7 linked regions of the Sus scrofa genome follow. The protein of the gene in region 1 interacts with the protein of each later gene in a pairwise test. Links are inferred from orthologs where the notes say so. Each region holds a gene or a part of one and is shown in the gene's direction. Other genes may lie near its edges.

Evidence for each region.
Region 2: the proteins of UBE2K (region 1) and MARCH3 interact in binary tests that used the Homo sapiens proteins (3 or more experiments, as listed by UniProt). The link is inferred for Sus scrofa from reciprocal best matches to the Homo sapiens genes UBE2K and MARCHF3.
Region 3: the proteins of UBE2K (region 1) and MIPOL1 interact in binary tests that used the Homo sapiens proteins (3 or more experiments, as listed by UniProt). The two-hybrid records come from large-scale screens. The link is inferred for Sus scrofa from reciprocal best matches to the Homo sapiens genes UBE2K and MIPOL1.
Region 4: the proteins of UBE2K (region 1) and RNF111 interact in binary tests that used the Homo sapiens proteins (3 or more experiments, as listed by UniProt). The link is inferred for Sus scrofa from reciprocal best matches to the Homo sapiens genes UBE2K and RNF111.
Region 5: the proteins of UBE2K (region 1) and RNF125 interact in a two-hybrid assay, tested with the Homo sapiens proteins (2 studies listed by BioGRID and IntAct). The link is inferred for Sus scrofa from reciprocal best matches to the Homo sapiens genes UBE2K and RNF125.
Region 6: the proteins of UBE2K (region 1) and RNF114 interact in binary tests that used the Homo sapiens proteins (3 or more experiments, as listed by UniProt). The link is inferred for Sus scrofa from reciprocal best matches to the Homo sapiens genes UBE2K and RNF114.
Region 7: the proteins of UBE2K (region 1) and RNF138 interact in binary tests that used the Homo sapiens proteins (3 or more experiments, as listed by UniProt). The link is inferred for Sus scrofa from reciprocal best matches to the Homo sapiens genes UBE2K and RNF138.

What each region holds. Positions count from the first base shown.
Region 1 is NC_010450.4:30,950,494-30,953,993, forward strand, and holds part of UBE2K (ubiquitin-conjugating enzyme E2 K), read left to right. Parts: intron 1-3,246; coding exon 3,247-3,346; intron 3,347-3,500. UniProt on the Homo sapiens protein: Accepts ubiquitin from the E1 complex and catalyzes its covalent attachment to other proteins. In vitro, in the presence or in the absence of BRCA1-BARD1 E3 ubiquitin-protein ligase complex, catalyzes the synthesis of 'Lys-48'-linked polyubiquitin chains.
Region 2 is NC_010444.4:129,911,381-129,914,880, reverse strand, and holds part of MARCH3 (E3 ubiquitin-protein ligase MARCH3), read left to right. Parts: intron 1-110; coding exon 111-315; intron 316-3,500. UniProt on the Homo sapiens protein: E3 ubiquitin-protein ligase which may be involved in endosomal trafficking. E3 ubiquitin ligases accept ubiquitin from an E2 ubiquitin-conjugating enzyme in the form of a thioester and then directly transfer the ubiquitin to targeted substrates.
Region 3 is NC_010449.5:62,793,235-62,797,367, reverse strand, and holds the start of MIPOL1 (mirror-image polydactyly gene 1 protein), read left to right. Parts: upstream 1-1,333; 5' UTR 1,334-1,542; exon of another isoform or gene 1,543-1,719; intron 1,720-4,133.
Region 4 is NC_010443.5:112,972,601-112,976,100, reverse strand, and holds part of RNF111 (E3 ubiquitin-protein ligase Arkadia), read left to right. Parts: intron 1-1,495; coding exon 1,496-1,648; intron 1,649-2,681; coding exon 2,682-2,808; intron 2,809-3,500. UniProt on the Homo sapiens protein: E3 ubiquitin-protein ligase. Required for mesoderm patterning during embryonic development. Acts as an enhancer of the transcriptional responses of the SMAD2/SMAD3 effectors, which are activated downstream of BMP.
Region 5 is NC_010448.4:115,895,697-115,899,196, forward strand, and holds part of RNF125 (E3 ubiquitin-protein ligase RNF125), read left to right. Parts: intron 1-1,290; coding exon 1,291-1,398; intron 1,399-2,529; coding exon of another isoform or gene 2,530-2,565; exon of another isoform or gene 2,566-3,039; intron 3,040-3,093; coding exon of another isoform or gene 3,094-3,180; exon of another isoform or gene 3,181-3,312; intron 3,313-3,500. UniProt on the Homo sapiens protein: E3 ubiquitin-protein ligase that mediates ubiquitination and subsequent proteasomal degradation of target proteins, such as RIGI, MAVS/IPS1, IFIH1/MDA5, JAK1 and p53/TP53.
Region 6 is NC_010459.5:51,525,965-51,528,283, forward strand, and holds the end of RNF114 (E3 ubiquitin-protein ligase RNF114), read left to right. Parts: intron 1-187; coding exon 188-295; intron 296-1,622; coding exon 1,623-1,688; 3' UTR 1,689-1,819; downstream 1,820-2,319. UniProt on the Homo sapiens protein: E3 ubiquitin-protein ligase that promotes the ubiquitination of various substrates. In turn, participates in the regulation of many biological processes including cell cycle, apoptosis, osteoclastogenesis as well as innate or adaptive immunity.
Region 7 is NC_010448.4:115,954,521-115,958,020, forward strand, and holds part of RNF138 (E3 ubiquitin-protein ligase RNF138), read left to right. Parts: intron 1-2,766; coding exon 2,767-2,882; intron 2,883-3,500. UniProt on the Homo sapiens protein: E3 ubiquitin-protein ligase involved in DNA damage response by promoting DNA resection and homologous recombination.

The sequences.
Region 1 (3,500 bases):
CCACAGGATTGACAATGCCAGATCATTAAACCTCTAGGCCACCAGGGAACTCTTAGAACACAACTTTTTAAAATGCTTTGTTGAGGTGTAATTGATTGTAAACATCACATATTGAACAATTTGATGAGTTTGGATGTATATACACATCCATGAAACCATCATACAATCAAAATAGCAAACATAACCAACATACCAAAAGGTCTCCTAGTGTCCTTTTGTAAGTACTCCTTGCTACACTTGCTACTCCGCCATTTCTCAGTAAGTACTGGTCTCCTCTTGTAGATTAGTATGCATTTTGTGGAATTTAGTATAGATGACAATTCTGATAGTATTTTAGATAAAGAGCCATTTCTAGTATAATTTTTTTTCTAATAGGTAAAATATAGACCTGTGTTTGTGATATCGATTTTATTTTATTGGCTTAGAACAGCCTTTTTCTTTTCTTTTCTTTTTTGTCTTTTTGCCTTTTCTAGGGCCACTCCCTCTGCATATGGAGGTTCCCAGGCTAGGGTAATAGGCGCTGTAGCTGCTGGTCTATGCCAGAGCCACAGCAACTCGGGATCGGAGCCGCGTCTGCAATCTACACCACAGCTCACGACAACACCAGATCCTTAACCCACTGAGCAAGGCCAGAGATCGAACCCGCAACCTCATGGTTCCTAATCGGATTCATTAAGCACTGAGCCACGACGGTAACTCCAGAACAGCCTTTTTCAATTAGCTTAAGCTATAATGCACTAAAGCAGTATTATGCAAACATTAGTTTGCATCATAATCACTTGGAGTAACTCTTAAACCACTCTAGAGTTTCTGATTTAGTAGATAAAGGACGAGGCCAAGAATTTTCATTTCTTACAAGTTCCCAGGTGATGATGTTTCTGGTTGAGGAAACCACACTTTGTGAGATACATTTCTTTAAAACATTCATTGTTGGTAATAAATTAACTTTTTTTCTAAGCATCTAGGATGGTACAATTTCCTTGGAGAAATTGAGAAAATATTCAGTAATTTTCTTTGTTCAGTGGTTAAAATGAGGAACCCAGTTGAAAAAGACTGCTTGGGAGGTATCTAATTTGTGTGGTAAAATGGACATGTAGTATAATAATCCTCAGTGTTTAAAATGTTTCACTACTAGGTGTTCCCGTCGTGGCTCAGCAAAAACGAATCTGGTTAGGATCCAAGAGGACACAGGTTTGATCCCTGGCCTTGCTCAGTGGGTTAAGAATCCGGTATTGCTGTGGCTGTGGTGTAGGCTGGTGGCTACAGCTCCAAATTGACCCCTAGCCTGCTAACCTCCATATGCTGAGGGTATGCTCTAAACGACAAAAGACCAAAAAAAAGAAAAATTAAATAAAATGTTTCACTATTGGAGTTCCCATTGTGGCTCAGCTGTAATGAACCCTACTAGTATCCATGAGGTCGAAGGTTCAATACCTGGCCTCACTTAGTGGGTCAAAGAATCCAGTGTTGCTGTGAGCTGTGGTGCAGGTCGAAGACAAGGCTTGGATCCTGTGTGGCTGTAGCTGTGGTGTGGCCTAGCACCTAGAGCTCCAATTCGACCCCTAGCCTGGGAACTTCAGTATGCCTTGGGTCTGGCCCTAAAAAGACATGCGCGCATACACAGGCGTGTGAGTAAGACAAATAAATTTCACTATTCTGCTGTTTCAGTATTTAATGAATTAATTTATACATTAAGGAAAAAACTTTCTCCTTTTAGACCATTTATAGAATGATTTTAGGCTTTCTTTTTTGTTTTCAGGGTTGCACCTGCAGCATATGGAGGTTCCCAGGCTAGGGGTCTAATCGGAGCTGTTGCCGCCGGCCTACGCCACAGCCACAGCAACTCGGGATCTGAGCTGCGTCTTTGACCTACACCATAGCTCACGGCAACGCTGGATCCTTAACCCACTGAGCATGGCCAGGGATCAAATCCGCAACTCCGCGATTCCTAGTTAGATTCGTTTCCACTGCGCCACGACGGGAACTCTTCGTTTTTTATTTTTAAACATTATTTTATTTTTCATTTTACAGCAAAACCTGCAGCATATGGAAGTTCCCAGGCTAGGGGTCGAAGTGGATCTGCAGCTGCAGGCCTAAATTGCAACCACAGCAATGCCAGATTTGAGCTGTGTCTGCAATCCATGCTGTAGTTTGCAGAAACGTTGGGTCCTTAATCCACTGAGCGAGGCCAGGGAGTAAACCCACATCCTCATGGAAACTATCTTGGGTTCTTAACCCCCTGAACCACAATGGGAACTCTTAGGCTTTCTTTTAAATAAAGATTTTTTATTGGAGTTTAGTTGCTGTACCTTTTTTGGAGGAGGGGGCACACCTGCGGCATATGGAGGTTCCCAGGTTAGGAGTCAAATCAGAATTGCATCTGCCGGCCTATACCACAGCAACACAAGATCTGAGCTGCCTCTTTGACCTACACCACAGCTCACAGCAATGCCTGATCATTAACCCACTGACCAAAGCCAAGGATCGAATTTGCATCCTCTTGGATACTAGTCGAGTTGCCACAGCTGAGCCACCAACAGGAACTCCAGTATGGTATTATTTAAGTTACAGTTGTACAGTATAGTGATTCACATGTTTTAAAAGTTATATTCCATTATAGTGATTAGAAAATATTGACTATATTCCCCATGTTGTACAATACATCCTTATAGCTTATTTTATACGGTAGTTACATCTTAAATCCCCACTCCTATATTGCCCCTCCTCCCTTCTCTCTCCCTGCTAGTAACAACTAGTTTGTTGTTCTCTTTGGGTCTGCTGCTTTTTTTTGTTATATTCAGTAGTTCGTTGTAGACTCTGCATTTGTCTTTCTTTGTCTGACTTATTTCACTTAGTGTATGCCCTTTAAGTGATTTTAGGCTTTCTTGAAAGTAAAGGAGATTTGTTTGATGTGTCTTGTTTTTAGAGTGTGACAGAAAGGAAGTTTCACATGTAGTTTATCACTGTATTTTAAAGTTATGTCTATAGAAATGGATAAGTCAGTCGATAAAGGCTGACCAAAAGTAGGTTGTCAACAATAAGAAAAAACTAAGCCAATTAAGGGCAGTTTGCCTTGTCTTAAGAAGTAGACTCATTCATTGTAAAGAAAAAAAAATGGTATATAATTATAAATTTCTAAGACTATTTTTTTTAGCTTCAGTAGTTTTCATGTTTTATTTAGAAAATGTCTTTGTTTTTATCATCCATACTCTTGTTAACTGGAATATCTTCCTATTTTGAATTTAGGGCAGCAGCAATGACTCTGCGCACAGTATTATTGTCATTGCAAGCACTACTGGCAGCTGCAGAACCAGATGATCCACAAGATGCAGTAGTAGCGAATCAGGTAAGGCAGCTGCTTTTGAAGGCCGTTCTTTTTCTTATCTGTGACTCTCTAGTGGTTTATAGTGTTAACAGATAAATATCCTCCTGTTGAAACTAAATCTTGAAATGGTTTCCTTTCTTGCTGTCAGATTATTAGGTGTAATAAGGAAGACGCG
Region 2 (3,500 bases), on another chromosome or scaffold:
TATTCTGAGCAGCTGCCACAGGGGAGGGTCTGAAGGACGTGGCCAGAGGACCATGGTATGGTGGTGGTTTCCAGCCCAGTGACCAACAGGTGCCCCTCCTTCTCTTGCAGCCCCTTCAATGACCGGCCAATGTGCAGGATCTGCCATGAGGGCAGCAGCCAAGAGGACTTGCTCTCTCCATGTGAATGTACAGGGACCTTGGGGACAATCCATCGGAGCTGCCTGGAGCACTGGCTGTCGTCCTCAAACACCAGTTACTGTGAACTCTGCCACTTCAGGTTTGCAGTCGAGCGCAAACCCAGGCCGTTAGTGGAGGTCAGTAATTGGGGCACGTCTTGAGAACTTAACTCTAATGAGCAAATGATGTCTGCTTTTATGCCCACATCACAAACCCTGTGCAGCTTCACTGAAGCACAGTAATAACTGTGACACACACACATACACACGCACACAGCCCACATTCAGGAGTCAGCACTAGAAAGGTGACCTCCATGAGCTGGAGACAAAATAGTAGAAGAAACCAGTGTGAGGAGAAAGGGGACATTTAGAGACTTGATCTCCATTTTCCATTCCTGGGACATGGAGCAAACAGATCAGATGTTTTCTCTTTGCACATCATCTGCTCACCTTGAAGCAACAGATAAATGGGCATTTGGGTTGCTTATTCTGAGAAGTCGTTGCAAAAACATATAACTGCATGATAGAATGGATATAGACCTAGACTTCTGGGTTTGAATAGTTCTACGAACTTGGGTAAGTGATTTCACCTCTTAAAATTACCATGAGGGTTAGATGAGTTAATATTTATAAAACACTTATAATACCAGGTTATACATGCAAGTGTTTGAGTAAAAGTCTCATCTAGGAAATTGCACACAAGGCTTTTTTCAGCTAATAACCTAGTACTGCAATCTCTTAAGAGTGATGCTGTCGGAGTTCCCGTCGTGGCGCAGTGGTTAACGAATCTGACTAGGAACCATGAGGTTGCAGGTTCGGTCCCTGCCCTTGCTCAGTGGGTTAACGATCCGGCGTTGCCGTGAGCTGTGGTGTAGGTTGCAGACGCGGCTCGGATCCCGCGTTGCTGTGGCTCTGGCGTAGGCCGGTGGCTACAGCTCCGATTCAACCCCTAGCCTGGGAACCTCCATATGCCGCGGGAGCGGCCCAAGAAATAGCAACAACAACAACAACAACAAAAAGACAAAAGACAAAAACAAAACAAAACAAAACAAAAAAAAAACAAAACAAAAAAAAAAACAAAAAAAAGAGTGATGCTGTCAATGCAGCCATTAAAATGGCAGGACAGGAGTTCCCATTGTGGCACAGCAGAAACGAATCCGACTGGTATCCATGAGGATGCAGGTTTGATCCCTGGCCTCGCTCAGTGGGTTAAGGATCCAGCATTGTTGTGAGCTGTGGTGTAGATGCGACCCTAAAAAGAAAAAGACAAAGGCAGGACATTCCCTTTCCTGTTTTAAGGGCTACGTGATTCTTCTTTAGACCCAGGGTCTAGTCTTGTATGGCTGGGGGAATTGGAAACAACTATTAGATTATGTTTCTCTTCTCTCCTATACCCAACTTCTAGTCCATCAAAAGGGAATCTCCATAGGGCAGGTGTGGCCCTAAAAAGCAAAAAATCCAAAAAAAAAAATCATTCACACGCAATTATGCTACCAAAGCCAAAAATCATGAGAAGACGAGGGTACAAATGCAGGTTACTGGAAGTGTGTTCGAAATTAAGAGATCAGCAACTGTAAAAATTTAGTGTATATATATATATAGAGAGAGAGAGAGAGAGACTCCTATATCTAAACTTCATGGTTACTGCAAACCGAAAATTTACAATAGATACACAAATAAGAAAAAAGAAAAAAAGAAAAAAATGAGATATTGGCAACAGTAAATATTCTAATATACCGTGAACCTAAGCTAGTTGAAAGGGACCAAGACATTGGCCTAAAATCCAGTAGGGCCGATAACCTCCTCCTTATTTCAGCAGCTGACCCAGTGGAACTTGGGCCTTAAACTAGAGCTTGCAACCAAGACCTTCTTGGAGGCTACTTAAAATGCTGTGTTAGCGCCTCGGCGCTAAGGCTCCAGAGAGCTTTGCTTATACATTCTCTTCGTTTTGACCTTGAACCTTTAAACATCAGGACCTATAACTGAGGCCTGTTTTTAGCTAAGACCTGCTTGCCAAATGGCACACAATTGATTTGACTTGCCCCAATAAATTCTGTGCATTTTTTTTAAGACTCTGGACCAAGTGACGTCTTAATTTAGGCATCTTGCTGCTTGCCATCGACTTTCAGAGTCTCAGGTTGGTAGGGTGCCACGAGGGATCTGGCCCCATGCCATGTGCACTGGGATTTATACTTCAGAACTTCTCTACAGAGGGAGAAGTATAATTAAACAATAAACGAAGGAGGTGAAGATTTCCAAGCCCAATGGCAGAAGTTAAAAAGAAACCTATTTCTCCTTTCCAGAAACTTTTTGGAAGCTCCCCAAGTTGATACTGCAGCTTCCTCCAGGAAAGCTGGCTTCCCAGAACAAGGAAACCCCGCTTTGGATGGGCTGCATGTAGCAGTCTCTTTTACTGGTATCTCCCTAGTAAAAAAAAAAAAAAGACTTCTAATCTTGCTTGGTAAAAACCCCAACGTGTGTGTGCTTAATAGATAACAAAGGAGGGTGTGTGTGTGTGTGTATGCATGTCAGACTAACATGCATGTGTCAAATCACGCAGTCTCAGGAGGGACTCATACCCCCACACACAGGTTTCTTCGGAGCTGCTGATGTTGGGCTGGAGGCAGACCCCAGGATCTTAGGCAACTGTCATTAAGCAGGAAAACAAGGCGAATGACCTTGAGAATGTGTGACGGGCTCTGCAAGATCGAGGGCCTCGCCTACAAAAACTTCACCCAAGCGGTCACTGGTGGTGAAATTTTCATTGCACAAATGGAATGTGACGTTTTTCAGAGTTAATGATGATTGAACAAGTTGAAAGTGAAAGGCAGACCTTCTCCAGCCGGGGAGGCTGGCCGTTTGATCATCCCGTGGCGAAATGAACTTGCCGTTCGACCACAAGCAATAAAAGGAAGTTGTCTTTGGTTTCTCAGCTGGAGGACAAATGAGAACCAGGTGCAGGCAGATTTTTAGACAAATGACATTACTAATTGACTTTTCTCCGCTTCCCCAAGGGTGGGTTTATTCAGAATGAGCGTTGCTTCTCGATATGTTTCCCTCGAGATGAACAGGAATCTTTTTAGTAAATCAGCAAAACCTGCCTGTTTGGGTTAAGCATTAGGAGTTGTGTTACTTTATTTCTCATTTCCACTCTTTTAATTGCTTTAATCATTACTTTATTTACCAGTTGGATCTGCCTTCTCATTAGAGCAAGAAAATTCCATAACATTTCATTTCAAAATCGATGTGCTAATAACAACTCCCATTGCAAGAGGAAGCGGTTGAAAAAGTCATTTATAAATTTTATTTGTCAGCATCCAGAC
Region 3 (4,133 bases), on another chromosome or scaffold:
TTACTGTTTATTATCCAAAACCCAGAAGAGTATCTGGCACATAGTATATGTTCAGTAAATAGTTGGTGACTTGGAGTTCCTGTTGTGGCTCAGTGGTAATGAACCTAACTAGTATCCATGAGAACTTGGGTTCAATCCCTGGCCTCACTTAGTTGGGGATCCAGTGTTGCAGTGAGCTGTGGCTTGATCCGGTGTTGCTGTGGCTGTGGCCAACAGCTGCAGCTCTGATTCAGCCCCTAGCCTGGGAACTTCCATATGCTGTGGATATAGCCCTAAAAAGACAAAAAAAAAAAAAAAAAAAAAAGTTGGTGACTTAAGGTGATATTTATAAAAGAATACTGATCTGTAGTACAAGAAAACCGCATCTGAATTATTATGCATTTGAATCAGCTATAGTCCTTTCTCGTTCCAACACAAGTTAAGGACTTTTTTTTTTTTTAATTCCGGAAGGTTCAACATTTTGTCTTAAAGAATCAATATATTGAATGTTAAGTATCCATTTCTTTTCATAACTAAGTCAAAAGGTAACTTCTTCCAAGTTTTAGTTTGAAACATTCTTGGTCTAGGAGCTAGGCATTGCTTTTCGCTCACCCAAGTGTAGTCCATCTGCAGCCTTTTTCATTCAACCATTTCCCAACACATCTCTCTTCTCTCCCGAGTTCCCATCCCCACTCTCCCCCTCACCCAAACCATACACAAACAAAACAGAAAAACCACAATTTCACCAGCTCCTGTGGAGACTTGATAACGCTCAAGTTGAGGCCACAAAACTTTTTTTTTTTTTGTCTTTTTGTTTTTTCAAGGGCCGCACCCGCAGCATATGGAAATTCCCAGACTAGGGGTTTAATCGGAGCCGTAGCTGCGGGCCTACAGCAGAGCCACAGCAACGCCGGATTCGAGCCGCGTCTTCTATCTACACCACAGCTCATGGCAACGCCGGATCCTTAACCCACCAAGCGAGGCCAGGGATCGAACCCCCAACCTCAAGTTTCCTAGTCGGGTTCATTTCCGCTGCGCCAGGACGAGAACTCCGACAAGACATGTTTTTAAGGACGCGGTTTCCCCCCTCTATCCTGATTAGGTTTTGTCCAGAGAATATTTTGCTCTCACAGAATGCACCCGTCGTCTCAGAACCGACAGCCTTAGCGCCCTGGGAGCAGCAGAGGAAGGCTATGAAGATCGCCTTCTCTCTTCGCCACTCCAGCCAGCACTTTTGAAGTTCCCGCCTCTGCCAAGAGGCCCCGCCCCCCGGCCCCTGTGGTGCGCCATGCGCATGCCTAGTGCGAGCCGCCTGCCCCCGCCCCGCGCGCGCTCCGCCTCTGTTCCCCGTAGGCCCCCGCGCGCCGCTGGCGGCTAGTTCCCTCCCCAGTCGCACTCTCCCGGGTTGATCGCCGGCGCGCGCACCTCCTAGCGCGGAGGAGTCCCCGACGGGGAGGTTCCGAGAGAGAGACGATTGGCTGACGTGGTGGCTGCGCGTCGGGCCTGAGAAACTCTGGGCGAGCGCGTTGAGTCGCTCCCGGGGCGGTGCGGGGCTCATCTCAGGTAAACCGGTGGGTTGGGAGGTTTGGACGACAAAAGGAGGAGAAAAGGAGGGGTGGGTTTAGACCAGCCTTTGGAATTTCCGGCCGCAGCCTCCTTGGAGAAGAAGGGGGTCACACAGAAACTGCCCCCTCTGAATGTCGGCCCCGAGCGGCCGGGAGTGATGGGGCTAGCTCGAAGGTCAGTTTGGTGTGGTCCTCTGGTCTTCTTGCGCATGATTTCGGCATCTTCCCCTGTTTCCTCTTACAAGAGCTCAGCAACTGAGCATGTATTCAGAAGTGTAGGTTTTTGTTTTGTTTGCTTTTCCTTTAAGAGGCAGTGAGTTAGAGGGTTCAGGTCTAGGCTCAACCTCTGATTGACTCCGTGCCCTTGAGAGTCACTCATTTCGTTGTGTATTTTAGTTCTCACACTTGTTAAGTTTTGGCAGAGTGTGGTGCTTCTTTAGCCATGCTGTAAAAAGATACTGTTAGAATTTTTTTGGTTTACAAAGTCTCTGGGCCCAGATTTCTCTAATTGGAAGGTAACACCACCCAGCAGAATTTGTGAAGTACTTTAAGCTCCATGGATGGAAGGAACTGGATAAACACAAGATAATAGCATTATTAGACAGGATGTCGTAGAAAGAAAAAAGTTTCCACAAGAGCAGGCTTTTTGAAAAGCTCCTTTGAACGTTTTTATGCAGTTTAAATCACAGCGGTAGTAGAAAAAGGTAAGCCAAAACAAAGGGCCAAGCAAAACTGCATTTTAAGGAGACTTTTTTTTTTTTCCGTTCCTCCCGTAACTTTAACAAGTTACTGGCTTTTCAAAGTTTCTTCTTGGGATCTAGTGTGGACCTAAACTAAAATAATGGTTGCAGAAACATTTGGCAATCTTGTGCAGTAGTATACCAAGAAAATTCATTAAAACAAAGATGAATTCTGTTTAAGGTAACAGAAATTAAAATATCTTTCTCATGGGTGAGAGGTAATGATGGCAAATCAGAAAAATGAACAGGAGATGTACACAATTTTCCTTCACAGGCATAGAGTTTGTAGATATGAAATCTTTTTAGTATGCTAATTTTCAAAGGATAATAGACACAGCAGAGTCGGTAAATCATAAGTATATAGCTCAATGAATTTTCACAAAGTGTACCTTTCCAAGTGTTCAGTAGCTAGATCAAGAAAGAGCATTGTTTGCATAGTGGAAGCCCCATTTGTGTCCCTTTTCCAAAGGTAGCCATTATCTCAAAAAAAAATTTTTTTTTTTGTCTTTTTGTTGTTGTTGTTGTTGTTGCTATTTCTTGGGCCGCTCCCGCGGCATATGGAGGTTCCCAGGCTAGGGGTCCAATGGGAGCTGTAGCCACCGGCCTACACCAGAACCACAGCAACGCGGGATCCGAGCCGCGTCTGCAACCTACACCACAGCTCACTGCAACGCCGGATCGTTAACCCACTGAGCAAGGGCAGGGACCAAACCCGCAACCTCATGGTTCCTAGTCGGATTCGTTAACCACTGCGCCACGACGGGAACTCCCATTATCTCAATTTTTGACATCATCAGTGAATTACTTATTGACTTCAGATAAATGGAATTGTGCAGTATACAGTCCTTGGTGTCTCACTTGGTTAATATTATATTCCTGAGGTTTATACAAGGTATGTAACAGTAGTTTGTTCTTAATACTGTACAGTATTCCATCCAGTTTTTGGTTATTATCAGCAGGACTGCTATGAACATTTTGTAAGTATTTTGGTGAGCATCTGTGTACACTTCTGTTGGATGTTGGATGTGGATACCTACTGGTGAAATGACTGTATTATCAGATGCACAGATATCTAGGTATATACTAACAAAGTTGTTCAAAGTAGTTATGTCAATTAATACTCCTGTTAGCAGTGTTTGAGGATTCTGGCTTCTCCAAAAGCTTGTGACATTTAGCATCATCCTTTTCATTTTAGCCATTCTGGTGGGTAGTGATATCATGTTGGGAGTTTCCCTAGTGAATAATGATTTTTAATACCTCTTCATATCCCTCTTTGCCATTTGGATATCCTTCATTCCCAAGGGTCATCACATTTTTTGTAAAGGGCTGGGTAGTTAATATAGGCAGTTCTTGCTTTGTAGAATTTCACTTAAAGCAGTACTGTGTGCAGCTAGGACTGCCCTATTTTATGCTTTGCAGGCCGTGTACAGTCTGTTGTATGTATTTTCTTTCTTCCTTTCCTTCTTTTTTCTTTTTCTTTCCTTTTTTTTTTTTTTTTGCCTGCTTGTTTGCTTGCTTCCCTACCTGCCTTTCCTCTTTTCTTCTTTCCCTTTCTTTCTTCCTCCCTTTTTTTCTTTTTTCCTTAATTTTCTTTTTCTCCCTCCCTTAATTCTTTCCTTCCTTCCTTCCTTCCCACTGCTATATTGAAAAATGACTGTTCATAAATGACTGATATGGTCATTGGTGGTGGTGACATCATTAGATGGGGCTATACTGGAAAAAGTATTCATACATAATAGTATTAAGTAGTATGTGCTGTAGGGTTTAGGTTTTATATTTCAAATCTTTAAACATCCTCTTCGCTTTTTACCAGTTTACCTCGACTAATTAGAGACCTATTTGAGACCTC
Region 4 (3,500 bases), on another chromosome or scaffold:
AGAAGGGTATTGGAATTTTCAACAACTAATTTGAAAAATCAGTCATTGAAAAATCAGTCTTCTTAACTAGCTTAGTTTATTTATAAATTTAAATATTAAAATATTCCCCATACATTATGAAAAGAATATAATTGAACTTTTTTTTTTGGTCCTTTTAGGGCCGCACTGGTGGCATATGGACGTTCCCAGGCTAGGGGTCAAATCGTAGCTATAGCTGCCAGTCTACACCAGAGCCGTAGGAATGCCAGATCCTTTAACCCACTGAGCAAGTCCAGGGATCGAACCCGCGTCCTCATGGATGCTAGTCAGGTTCGTTAACCACTGAGCCCTGACAGGAACTCCTAACTGAACTTTTTAAATTTCTTTTAAAAATTCAGGACATGATTTTCTAATTTAGGGCAGCATATTTTATTGGTCTTATTCTTCCTGCCTGTTTTTTTAAGGTGTTATAGGAAAACCACTACACTTGTTCATTTATATATTGTCTGTAGCTTCTTTCACACTGCAGAAACTAAGTTGAGTAGTTGCCACAGAGGCCATGTGGCCTATAGAGCAAATAATTTTGCCCTTACAGAGTATTTGCAGAACTCTTGATCTAATTAATGATCTGGCACTTGTGTAACTTCTTTCTTTAGTTACATAATTTAAGGTTATATCTGGAATCTCTGGATGTTGCTGCCATTCTAATATTAGACCCTTATTAGACCCAACTTTCTATATAAAGTTGCCAGTTTAACATTCATATTTTTCTGGTATCTAGAAAATTACTTGTTCTAAATCATTTAGATTAAACTTGCAAAATCTGTAAATGTGTTCAAAACTAATAGAAAGTAAGAATGAGACGATAAAAATGAATCCCTGGAACTTTTTTCTTTTTTTTTTTTTAATGCCATTTGCTCAGAACGTTATGACCATTTGCATTTGTAAGTTTGACAAATTTTAGACTAGGAAGAGAAAGTATAATAATCTGGGTTGATGAATAAAGAGTGTAAATGGAACTAATATTATCAGTTTCCCAGATGTGTTGACATGTATTTGCATGTGTTTGAAAAAATGCATAAAGTTAAAAATTTTTTCTTAAAAGCTTTATGTATTAAAATGGGTGAATATTATAATAATTTCTTTGTGCCTACAGCATTTGGAGTGTTACTTTATAAAATTTTATTTCTGTTCATAGTTTGTTATTCTATTTAAAATATCTGCCATAAAAACAAACAAAAAAAATTTTTTTTAATCTCCCATAAAGAAGATATGCAAGATAATGTTAAAACTCCCTTTTGCTTTGGATGGTATGTGAATTGGAGGCATTGTAATTAATGAGCAGTGAGAATTTGTGGGATTATGGTTTCTTGATTTATTAATCATTAAATTATATTACATTTTTATAATTTATTGTTACCAAAATAAGTTCATGACTAATGTGTAGATGTTATAATATTAATACTAGATTGTTTTTTCTACATTAAGAAATAACCAATTATTCAATTATTTCCAGTGGTCTTTTTGTGTTCTGTGTTTCCAGGCGGGCACATGAGCGCCCCCCACCCCATCCACATAGGATGCACCCAAACTATGGTCATGGGCATCATATTCATGTGCCTCAGACTATGTCCTCACATCCTCGACAGGCTCCAGAGAGATCTGCCTGGTCAGTATCTTGTGTATTTCAAAGTTGTGCTTAAGCTTCTTGCTGTAAAAAACCTTTGAAAGACATAATTTGTAGTGGAATGCCATACAGAAGGGTAATACGGAGAAACTGAATTCCAGCTTAGCTGTTGTGCTATCTCTGGACAAGTCGTAGAGACCTAGGGATGAAAGAGTTGCAGCTTGAGTTCTGGGGCAGGAAACCTATGTCAGACAGGAGTAGAGCTTTTTGGTTTTTTTCAGGGATCTGCTATCAAAGTTCACTCCCTAGATGGATCCTACCTTTCACAACTTCTTTTATCCACCACCTCCACTTTTGTACTCACAAAGGTGTAGTACCACCCTTAATTCCTGCTAGTGACAAGGGAAATCCAGCCTTCATCCTCCTAGGCTGGTGTTCTTTCCTAGACTAATGGAAGCGGATTTGGATTAAAATTTTCTTTCTGGATCTCTTGTCTGTAGAAGTCATTGAGATCTTGAGTCACAGTGACTTTTGAGGCAAAGTCGTAAAATGAGAATAAATAAATGAAGATCTGGCATTTACCAATTTTACTCTTTCTAAAGTTTTGTTTGCCCTTGCTTTGTAAAGTATAGAAGTGTTTACTCTTCTAATTATCCTTGATACCAACAACCCAGAGGCACTATCCAACAAGCAAAAGCCCTGGGAGCAACATTCATATAAATCAAAAAAGTAAACTCTATTCTGTGTGCTTAAGTAGAATCAGACTTAGATTGGAAAGAACCTTAGGGGCCATTCACTGTATTTCCTTCCTTTGTAAGATGTGAAATTGAGTACAGTGCTTTTCATTTGTACCATGCTCCTCATGATCACAAAATTGAATTTTTGAATTTTAATTTCTGAAGTGAACTTGAAATTATTAGTTATATCCTTTGGGCTAAATTATGTTTTTTCTCAGCTAAGTTAGTTAAGAAACTTCAGATTACTTTTAGAAATGTAAACATACTCCCCCATTCCTGTGGATAATAAGGACATTGTAAGGATGTCTAAAATTTGATCTGTTCTCATCCTTTGTCAGGGAACTGGGAATTGAAGCTGGAGTGACTGCAGCTACTTACACACCTGGAGCATTGCACCCTCACTTGGCCCATTACCATGCACCCCCTCGACTACATCACTTACAATTAGGAGCTCTTCCTTTAATGGTAAAATAGGAAAATTTCAAAATTTGGGTAGAGTTTCCTTTGAAAACTATTCTTCCTTTTCTTAAATATTTTATTGGAAATAGTTTAATAGAAATTGAGAATTATTAGATGGAAATGTGCTGTGAGAATGTGTTACTTATATTAAAATATATGTTTAGGAGTTCCCATCGTGGCGAGGGGAAACGAATCCGACTGGGAATCCTGAGGTTGCAGGTTCGATCCCTGGCCTTGCTCAGTGGGTTAAGGATCTGGCGTTGCCGTGAGCTGTTGTGTAGGTTGCAGATGAGGCTCGGATCTGGCGTGGCTGTGGCTGTGGCGTAGACCGGTGGCTACAGCTCCGATTAGACCCTCAGCCTGGGAACCTCCATGTGCCACAGGTGTGGCCCTCAAAAAAAAAAAAAAAAAAAGTGTTTGTATTTGCATTGTAAAAAAGATAATTTTTTTTCATTTACACCGAGATAATAACCTTGATACACTCTTCACTAGCATGTGTGCTTTGTGTTATAAGTAGTAGTGGGTCTGTTCTGATGCATGCATACTTTTCTGATAGCAGAAGGAGTGTACTGATTGATACTCTATATACAATTTGAGCAGGTTCAGATTTTGTTGATTCCAATTTGAGTTCTAAAGAACAAGTTCAGCAAAAATGAAGTTTGCTCTTCATAATACAGAGTATGTGGTACAGAGAAGTG
Region 5 (3,500 bases), on another chromosome or scaffold:
GCCTACGCCAGAGCCATGGCAACACGGGATCCGAGCCACGTCTGCGACCTACACCACAGCTCACGGCAATGCCGTAGAGAATGCAGGTTTGATCTCCGGCCTGGATCAGTGGGTTAAGGATCCGGTATTGCCGTGAGCTGTGATATAGACTGAAGACGAAGCTCAGATCTGGCGTTGCTATGGCTGTGGTATAGATGCAGCTCTAAAAAGACAAAAAAAAAAAAAAAAAAAAAAACCAAACCCAGAGCTATAGAGCAGTGTATACTATGAGCCATGAATGTTCATAACTTGACTTTCTCATCTCTATTTATGGTCATTTATCCTAGGAAAATAATCCCCACAAAAGTAAATAATATAGGTAATGTAATTTATAGTAACAAAATATTCACATACAAAGAAGACTTAAGTATTCCAGAAGTCCAAGAGGTAGGTAACTAATGAAGTAAATTATTGTACATTTAACTGTAATATTAGCTAATAAATATGAAGCAAATTGCCATACTCTTTTTTTTGGCTGCATCCACAGCATGTGGAAGTTCCCAGGCTAGGATCAAACCTGTGCCAGAGTTGCCACCTGTGCCACAGCTGCAGCAACACCAGATTCTTAACCCATTATGCCACACAGGAACTTCCTAAATAGCCATACTCTTATATGAGAAATACAGATGAAGAAATAAATGTAGTTTTATTTATTTATGTTGTGTTAATATTTATGCAATTCTGAAACATAATGCTGGAGTTCCCTAGTGACCTGGTAGCTTAAGGGTCTGGTGTTGTCAATGCTGTGGCTCAGTTCATTGCTGTCGTGCAGGTTTGATCCCTGGCCCAGGAACTTCCCACATGCCTTGGGTGTGGACAAAATTTTTAAAATTTAAAAATAAAACATAGGAGTTCCCGTCGTGGTGCAGTGGTTAACGAATCCGACTAGGAACCATGAGGTTGCGGGTTCGGTCCCTGCCCTTGCTCAGTGGGTTGACAATCCGGCGTAGCCGTGAGCTGTGGTGTAGGTTGCAGACGCGGCTGGGATCCTGCATTGCTGTGGCTCTGGCATGGGCCGGTGGCTGCAGTTCTGATTAGACCCCTAGCCTGGGAACCTCCATATGCCGAGGGATCGGCCCAAGAAATAGCAAAAAGACAAAAAAATAAATAAATAAATAAAACATAATGCCAAATATGGCTAGTAGCTGCATAAAATTAAAATTCATCTTGTTAAAGTTATTTAATTTTTTAATTCTGATATTAATGATTATTTAAAATTCTTTCTTGAACTCTGATCTTGTTTATTTCCAGTTCTGTCCACTTTGCCGTTTAATACCTAATGAGAATCCAGGCAGCTTCACTGGCAGCTTAATAAGACATTTGCAAGTCAATCACACTTTGTTTTATGATGATTTCATAGTAAGTATATTTTCTTACTTTTTCATTATGTTTTTATGCTATATGTTAAATAAGCTTACCTTTCTTAATCCAAGTGAATAAGATTATAGAGGAAAAAATTACATGTAGCTGTGAAATGTTAAATATTATAGTTAAGTAGGAAATCATAAAGCACAGTATTTTTATAAATTGACTGTTAATACTGAAGTAGTTACTTGCCTTGGACAAAATCATTTTCTTTGTGATATTAGCCATTGTAAAGCCATTGTACAGCCATTGTATAAAGTCCCAGATTTCGCTTTCAAATTATTTTAATTTCTACTCTAGTGCCTCCCTATATATAGTTATAATTTTTATGAGGTTAAAAACCTACATAGCTGAGGGGAAACCATATCACTAATGAAATGGCTCAGAGAATTTGCATTCATTTTATAATACATTGAATGGCTAATAACAGATACGACACTATCAGTGTAGTGAGACACATGGGCTATATAGTTTTTTTGTTTGTTTTTTTTTTCCTTTTCCCTTTTTAGGGCCTCATCTGCAGCATATGGAAGTTCCCAGGCTAGGAATCAAATCAGAGCTTGCAGCTGCCAGCCACATCTACAACTTAGACTGCAACTCACAGCAACGCCGGATCTTTAACCCACTGATTGGGGGCAGGGATTAAACCCATGTCCTCATGGATCCTAGTCAGGTTTGTAATTGTTGAGCCACAATGAGAACTCCTTTTTTTTTTTTTTTTCCATTTCTTTTCTTTTTAGGGCCACACTTGCAGCATATGGAAGTTCCCAGGCGAGGGGTCAAATCAGAGCTGCAGCTGCCGCGTCTGTGACCTACACCTCAGCTCATGGCAACACCAAATCCTTTACCCACTGAGCAAGGACAGGAATGGAACCCGAATCCTCATGGATGCTAGTCAGGTTCTTAGCCTGCTGAACCACAGTAGGAACTCCCTACGTCTCTCCGTCAAGTCTTTTCTGGCCACTAAGGCACACAAGCCTCCAACAGAGCCTCCTTCTTCTGGTCCACATGTTCTCATTTTTACAACACATAGGGGTACCTCTTTATCTTAGCTCCATAAGACATTCTAAAAGCCAGGTTGATTCCATACCTGTTCTGGCTATTCATGTGCAGTCCCTTCTCAAGATCTTACAGAGTATGATTCCGGACTGGTCAGGATGAAGCCACTTTGATGAGAAGTCTTTCCACCCACTCAAAACCATGTTCTTGGATGAGGAAGTCAATTTGAAACAGTGTTCTTTGTTTTGATTTCTTGTTTCTTAATCTAGGAAGTACTCTGCTAGGCACTTTATTCAGATTATCTCATTTTATTCCTTGCAGCAACTTCCGTAAATTGAGTACTATTTTATTATCCTCACTTAGTTATGAAATATCTGACTCTCAAAGGTTAATAAATTGCTTCAGAACAACCTGGTGTTGAGTCCAGATCTTGTGCTCTGCTGTGCTTTATGGCTTTCCTTTGGGGGTTATTTATTTGCTTTTATGTTTTAGAGTGGACTTCCAATAAAGATTTTATTTTATTTTTTCGTTTATTGGCAAAGAGGAAATAAGTTGCAGGGGATGGGGCTCTTGATTGTTTTTGTTTTCCTTATAGAATGTGCTGACATGAAGTTTTCAATTCTGTTTCGATCTAAGGAGGCAATGAGAAAGAGAGTTTTGTTTTCAACTTTTTTTTTTTTTTTTTTTCAGAACTGGATATTCAGTATTGCTGGGATTGGTAAATTCTGTCAGAATGTCCTAGCTTTATTCCATATTACAGGCTTATGTGGAGGCTAGCACTCTGACCAGGGTTTGTGATGTTAACTAAAAACTAAGAGATCATATTTTTTAAAAACTTAAAGGAATTCCCTTTATGGCTCAGTGGGTTCGATCCCTAGCCTCGCTCAGTGGGTTAAGGATCCGGCATTGCCGTGAGCTGTGGTGTAGGTTGCAGACGCTCTCGGATCTGGCGTTGCTGTGGCTGTGGTGTAGGCTGGCAGCAACAGCTCTGATTAGACCTCTAGTCTGGGAACTTCCATATGCCACAGGTGTGACCCTAAAAAAAGCGGTGGGGGGGGGGGGAGGGAGAGAGAGAGGAAAAAAAACTTTTAAGTTCC
Region 6 (2,319 bases), on another chromosome or scaffold:
TCCTACATGTCACTGGACTCCAGCAGGAGACTGACCATGTCTTCTGGGATGTGAATGTGACCTTGAAGATGTGACCAGGCTCTGGTCAGGACAGCTGTCCTGGGAGAAAGGCGGCCAGATACAGGTCACAGAGGGCTAATGGCAGCTCAGTCATGGAGTACCTAAGACCATGCTTCTTTTTTGAAAGGTTTGTCCAATATGTGCCTCGATGCCGTGGGGAGACCCCAACTACCGGAGCGCCAACTTCATAGAACACATCCAGCGTCGGCACCAGTTTTCCTACGACACTTTCGTGGTAAGTCTGGAGCCTGGGCTCTAATTCCTTCCCCTGGGGGACAGAACAGCTACCTCCCTTCTCTAACCTGGAGAACTATGAGTCCCCTTGGGGAGTTTTGTCACTAACGTGATGGGCTCCCTGAAATGTCAGCTGTGTGGTATTTAAGAAGATGAACTGGCCAGTCATCTAGACTGAGGCAAAGTAAAGCTTGCTTTTATTTTTTATCTTTATGAAAACCTTTATCCACTTTCTTTCAGTGTATGGTTTCTACCTGTTACAGAACCTGGTTTGAGATCCTTAAGTTCAGGTGTCTGTGGCAAGTGATTTTCGTAAGGAATCGCAGGCTGGGTGGTGCATGACTCGGGTTATGCTGCCATCATCTCCAGCTGATAGTCATGGTTGGGAAATGAAGGCACGGTATTGCCAGGCTTCTCCCCGGCCCTAACCTCAGTAAGCTGGAAATGCAGAATTCCATAGGAAGCATCACCTCTCCCCCTTTTTTTCCGCATCTGTATGGAAGTTCTCAGGCCAGGGATTGAATCCAAGCTGCAACTGCGACCAGTTCCACAGCTGCTACAACACGGAATCCTTAACCCACTATGCCAGGCCAGGGATTGAACCTGCACCTCAAGAGGGACCCGAGCTGCCGCAGAGACAATGCTGGATTTTTAACCCACTGCACCACAGCAGGAACTCCCCATGTTTATTTTTTTAAGTACTTCAGGTCAAGCTAAATGCATCAACTAGCCAAATGTGTCATCAAGTTTACATCCTTTCTCTGGAGCTGAGCTGTTTTGAAGGACACATTGTTGTCCTGGCATTCTAGTGGCAGAAACCTGGCCAGCTGTTCAAAGTAAACCTTTTATTGGGAGTTTCCTTGTGGCACAGTGGGTTGAGGATCTGGCAGTGTCACTGTAGCAGCCTAGCCTGCTGCTGTGGTGTGGATTCGATCCCTGGCCCAAGAACTTCCACATGCCACAGGTGTAGCCGAAAAATAAAAAGAGAAAGATGAAATCAGTTCCCCAGTAGAGCCCATATACATAACTTTGCCTCATTGCACCAAAACGTCTGGTTTCACTGCAGGGTGCTCCATCTGAGCAGCTGGTTTGTGCCAGGCCTCCTTCAGGTGTTCTCTGGGTCTCACCATCCCGTCTGAGGGAGCCCTCATGTTCACCACCAGGGTGAGGCAGCAGGGGCACAGAGCAAGCTGTGTGCCCAGAGTCACGCAGCTTGCGTCGAAAACAGTGGCCTCTCCCAAGCCCACCCCTCGGAGGCTCTGCTCCCTGACTAAAAGTCCTCACAGCTGCAGGCGGTCCCTGAGGCTGAGCCTCTGCTTTGCCCGTAGGATTACGACGTTGACGAAGAGGACATGATGAACCAAGTGCTGCAACGCTCCCTCCTTGACCAGTGAGCAGGCGCGGGCTCCAGAGCTTCCACTGTGTGTCCGCGTGAAACATGTGACTCTTCCACCTAAAATGTCCCACAGACCTGGAAGTGAGCCTTGGTGTTGGGACGGGGTCACTTCTGACAGGGGAACAGGTCCCCAGTCAAGCCCTCCTTTCCTTGGGGCTCTTCCCCTACTGCTCACTGTTTGTCATCTGTCCGGTTTTTTCCTGCTCCTCAGCCATTTCCTGGAGCTTTTGCCTCCTCTTTGGAAGGGAACCCAGCTTTCCACCTGTCCTCGTTTCATGCCTGCTTCTCCTGTCCACTGTTGATCTCTCAGGTCCTCCGAACCAGCCAGGACCTTTTCTGGGTCATGAGTAGCACAAATGAAACAAGCATCTCCTCCCCTTGTCCCCAAGGGGTGTGAGCGCCAGCAAGAATGGGGTGATGGGTGATGGAGCGCCCCCTCCTGTGCTGTGCAGGTTCCTGTTGGTTGGTCCTTGGCGGCAGCTGCCAGGAGCTAGAGTTACCTCATGGGAAACATTTCACAGGTCTTGTTAGGGTGGATGTTCTGGGTTGAACATGGTCTGATGCTGGAAGTTTTGATGAGTGAGATTTTCCTATCATTCCTGCACACCCTTAGGATTTAACTGGTTCAG
Region 7 (3,500 bases), on another chromosome or scaffold:
GGTAGCATCATTATTTCAATTGTACATAGAAATGAGCCAAATGAATTTATGTTGTCAACTCTTTAGCTGCTTGCTTACTGTACTTGAATATTCATGTACAAAATATTTGGCAGAAGACTTTGCTTACTTTTCTCTCTGGTGACAAAATCAAGTATTGGCAATAACTGACATTAATTCTCCAATCTGGATTTTATTTTATTTTATTTTTTTACTGATTTTATTTTATTTTTTTTTGTCTTTTGTCCTTTTTTTTAGGGCTGCACCCATGGCATATAGAGGTTCCCAGGCCAGGAGTCTAATTGGAGCTGTAGCCACCAGCCTACACCACAGCCACAACAACGCCAGATCCAAGCCCCGTCCTCGACCTACACTACAGCTCACAGCAACTCGGGATCCTTAACCCACTGAGCAAGGCCACGGATTGAACCCGAATCCTCATGGTTCCTAGTAAGATTTGTTTATGTTGCACCACGATGGGAACTCCCCAATCTAGATTTTATTCTGTCATTTGGAAAGGGAGTGAAATGGTGAGGGATGGTTAGGCTTGGAGTATATCCATTAATTTATGGATTTATCACAACTACTTTTTCAAAGAGCTAATAAAGTCAGTGGGCAAAACCATTTGCTGTTTCATGCAGTCACAAAAGACATAATCTGCTTGTCCATCTCTTGGAGGGATTTGTTAACTGACAGGGCAGTGAAATGAAACTGGAAAATGCAGTTGAGAGATTCTGACTCAACTCCTCAGAGAGAAACTAAAAAATGTCCCAAGAGTTACTTGGGTACTCAGTTTTTTGTTTTTTTTTTTTTTGCTATTTAAGGCCACATCTTCTGCATATGGAAGTTCCCAAGTTAGGGGTTGAATCGGAGCTGCAGCTGCTGGCCTGTAGTGCCAGATCCTTAACCCACAGAGTGAGGCCAGGAGTCAAACCACATCCTCATGGATACTAGTCGAGTTTGTTACCGTTGAGCCACAACAGGAACTTCAGGAACTTAGTTTTTTTAAGCACTTTCTACCTGCCAGGTTGCAATAGTTAAAGAGTAAAAATCGGAGTTCCTGTTGTGGCTCAGTGGTTAACGAGTCCGACTAGGATCCATGAGGTTGCAGGTTCGATCCCTGGCCTTGCTCAGTGGGTTAAGGATCCGGCGTTGCCGTGAGCTGTGGTGTAGGTCGTAGACATGGCTCGGATCTGGCATTGCTGTGGCTCTGGTGTAGGCCGGCAGCTACAGCTCCAAATGGACCCCTAACCTGGGAACCTCCATATGTCGAGGGAGCGACCCAAGCAATGGCAAAAAGACCAAAACAAAACAAAACAAAATTCTAAAAAAAAGATGCCCAGTGCCATGCAGCAACCTCTTAATACTTGTAATTTTATTTTTTGTCTATTATTAGCATTTTTAAAGTATAAAATTTTTATTTATCTTTTTTTCTTTTTGTCTTTTCCAGGGCCGCACCTGAGGCATATGGAGGTTCCCAGCCTAGGGGTTGAATTGGAGTTGTAGCCACCGGCCTACGCCAGAGCCACAGCAACGTGGGATCCGAGCAGCGTTTTCGACCTACACCACAGCTCACGGCAATGCCGGATCCTTAACCCACGGAGCAAGGCTAGGGATCGAACCTGCATGCAACATCATGGTTCCTAGTCAGATTCACTAACCACTGAAACATGACGGGAACTCCTAACATTGCTAATTTTTGAGGTGAGTTTATGAACGGTTAGACTCGCCTCTATTGTCTCTGTGTTTAATGGACTGAAACTTACTGCTTATTTTCAATTCCTACTTAAGACTTAAATTATCTACTTAAAAAAAACTTGTTTAAATGGAATATTTAATTGTCTATTTTGTGTTTTTATTTATTTTTTTATTTTTTAGGGCAGCACTCGCGGGATATGGAGGTTCCCAGGCTAGGGGTCGAATTGGAAGTGTAGCTGCCAGCCCACACCACAGCCACAGCAATGCCAGATTGAGCTGCCTCTGTGACCTACACCTCAGCTCACGGAAATGCTGGATCCTTAACCCACTGGACAAGGCCAGGAATCGAACCCATGTCCTCATGGATGCTAGTTGGGTTCGTTAACTGCTGAGCCATGACGGGAACGCCTCGTTGTATATTTTTATCTTTTTTTTTGACAATATCTTGAGTCTCAGGAGGAATTCCATTTTAAATTAAAAGTCACATTACATTTTTTGAAGTTCCTATTGTGGCTCAGCGGGTTAAGAAGCCAACATGGTGTCCATGAGGATGCGGGTCTGTCCCTGGCCTCGATCAGTGGGTTAAGGATCTGGCGTTACTACGAGCCATGGTGTAGGTCTCAGATCTGGTGTTGCTCTGTGCTGTGGTATAGGATGTCAGCTGCAGCTCTGATTCAGCCTGAGAACTTTCATATGCAGCAGATGCTGCCCTAAATAGAAAATTAAAATAAAGTCACATAATATTTTAAAATTAAAAAAAATTTTATTATGATAAAATATACATAATGCAAAATGTACCTTTTTAACCATTGTAGGCGTGCAGTACAGTGGCATTAAGTACATTCACAGCATTGTATAACAGTCACCACTCTCTGTCCAGAATTTCTTTATCATCCCAAACAGAAGCTCTGTATGCATTAAACCGTAACTTCCCATTTCTCGTCCCCTCTAGTAACCTATGTTTTACTTTGTCTCTGTGAATTTCCCTATTCTATGTACCATTGTATAAATGGAATGATGTAATGTTTATTCTTTTGAAAGTCACATTGTATTTTAATCAATAATTTACAGATTAAATTCTATCGTATGAGACATCATTACAAATCTTGTAAGAAGTATCAAGATGAATACGGTGTTTCCTCTATCATTCCAAACTTTCAGATCTCTCAAGATTCAGTAGGGAACAGGTAAGCCATATTTATTCTTAAAAAGAGAATTTTTATGGTTAAAATGGAAATTTAGGGGATCTATATGATAAGGTGTTTTTTGTTTTGTTTACATCTATGTTAAAGTAAATTGCCTTTGTATTCATAAGTTTGACACATATAATTCCATATGGAAGATTGAATTTATAATAGACTTAGGATCATGTTGTATAAAAATCATTCTGAGAAAATTTACATGTCTAGGGAGTTCTGTCGTGGCACAGTGGAAACCAATCCGACTAGGAACCATGAAGTTGCGGGTTTAATCCCTGGCCTCGCTCAGTGAGTTAAGGATCTTACGTTGCTGTGGTTGTGGTATAGGCCGGCAGCTGTAGCTCCAACTCCAATTAAACCCCTTGCCTGGGAACCTCCATAAGCTGCGGGTGCCCCCAAAAAGACAAAAAAAAAAAGAAAATTTACATGTCTAAATAAAAAGATTTGTGAGTTGAAGGCATTTTCTTTTGCAACTGTAATTACTTGAAAACTAGAGAAAATCCCTTTTAGTAATATATTTGCAAATTTGAATCTTTTTAGACTCTTTAAGAAATAATGTTTTTGAAATTGTCTTGATAGAATGTTATGTAAAAGTGAGACTTGGTA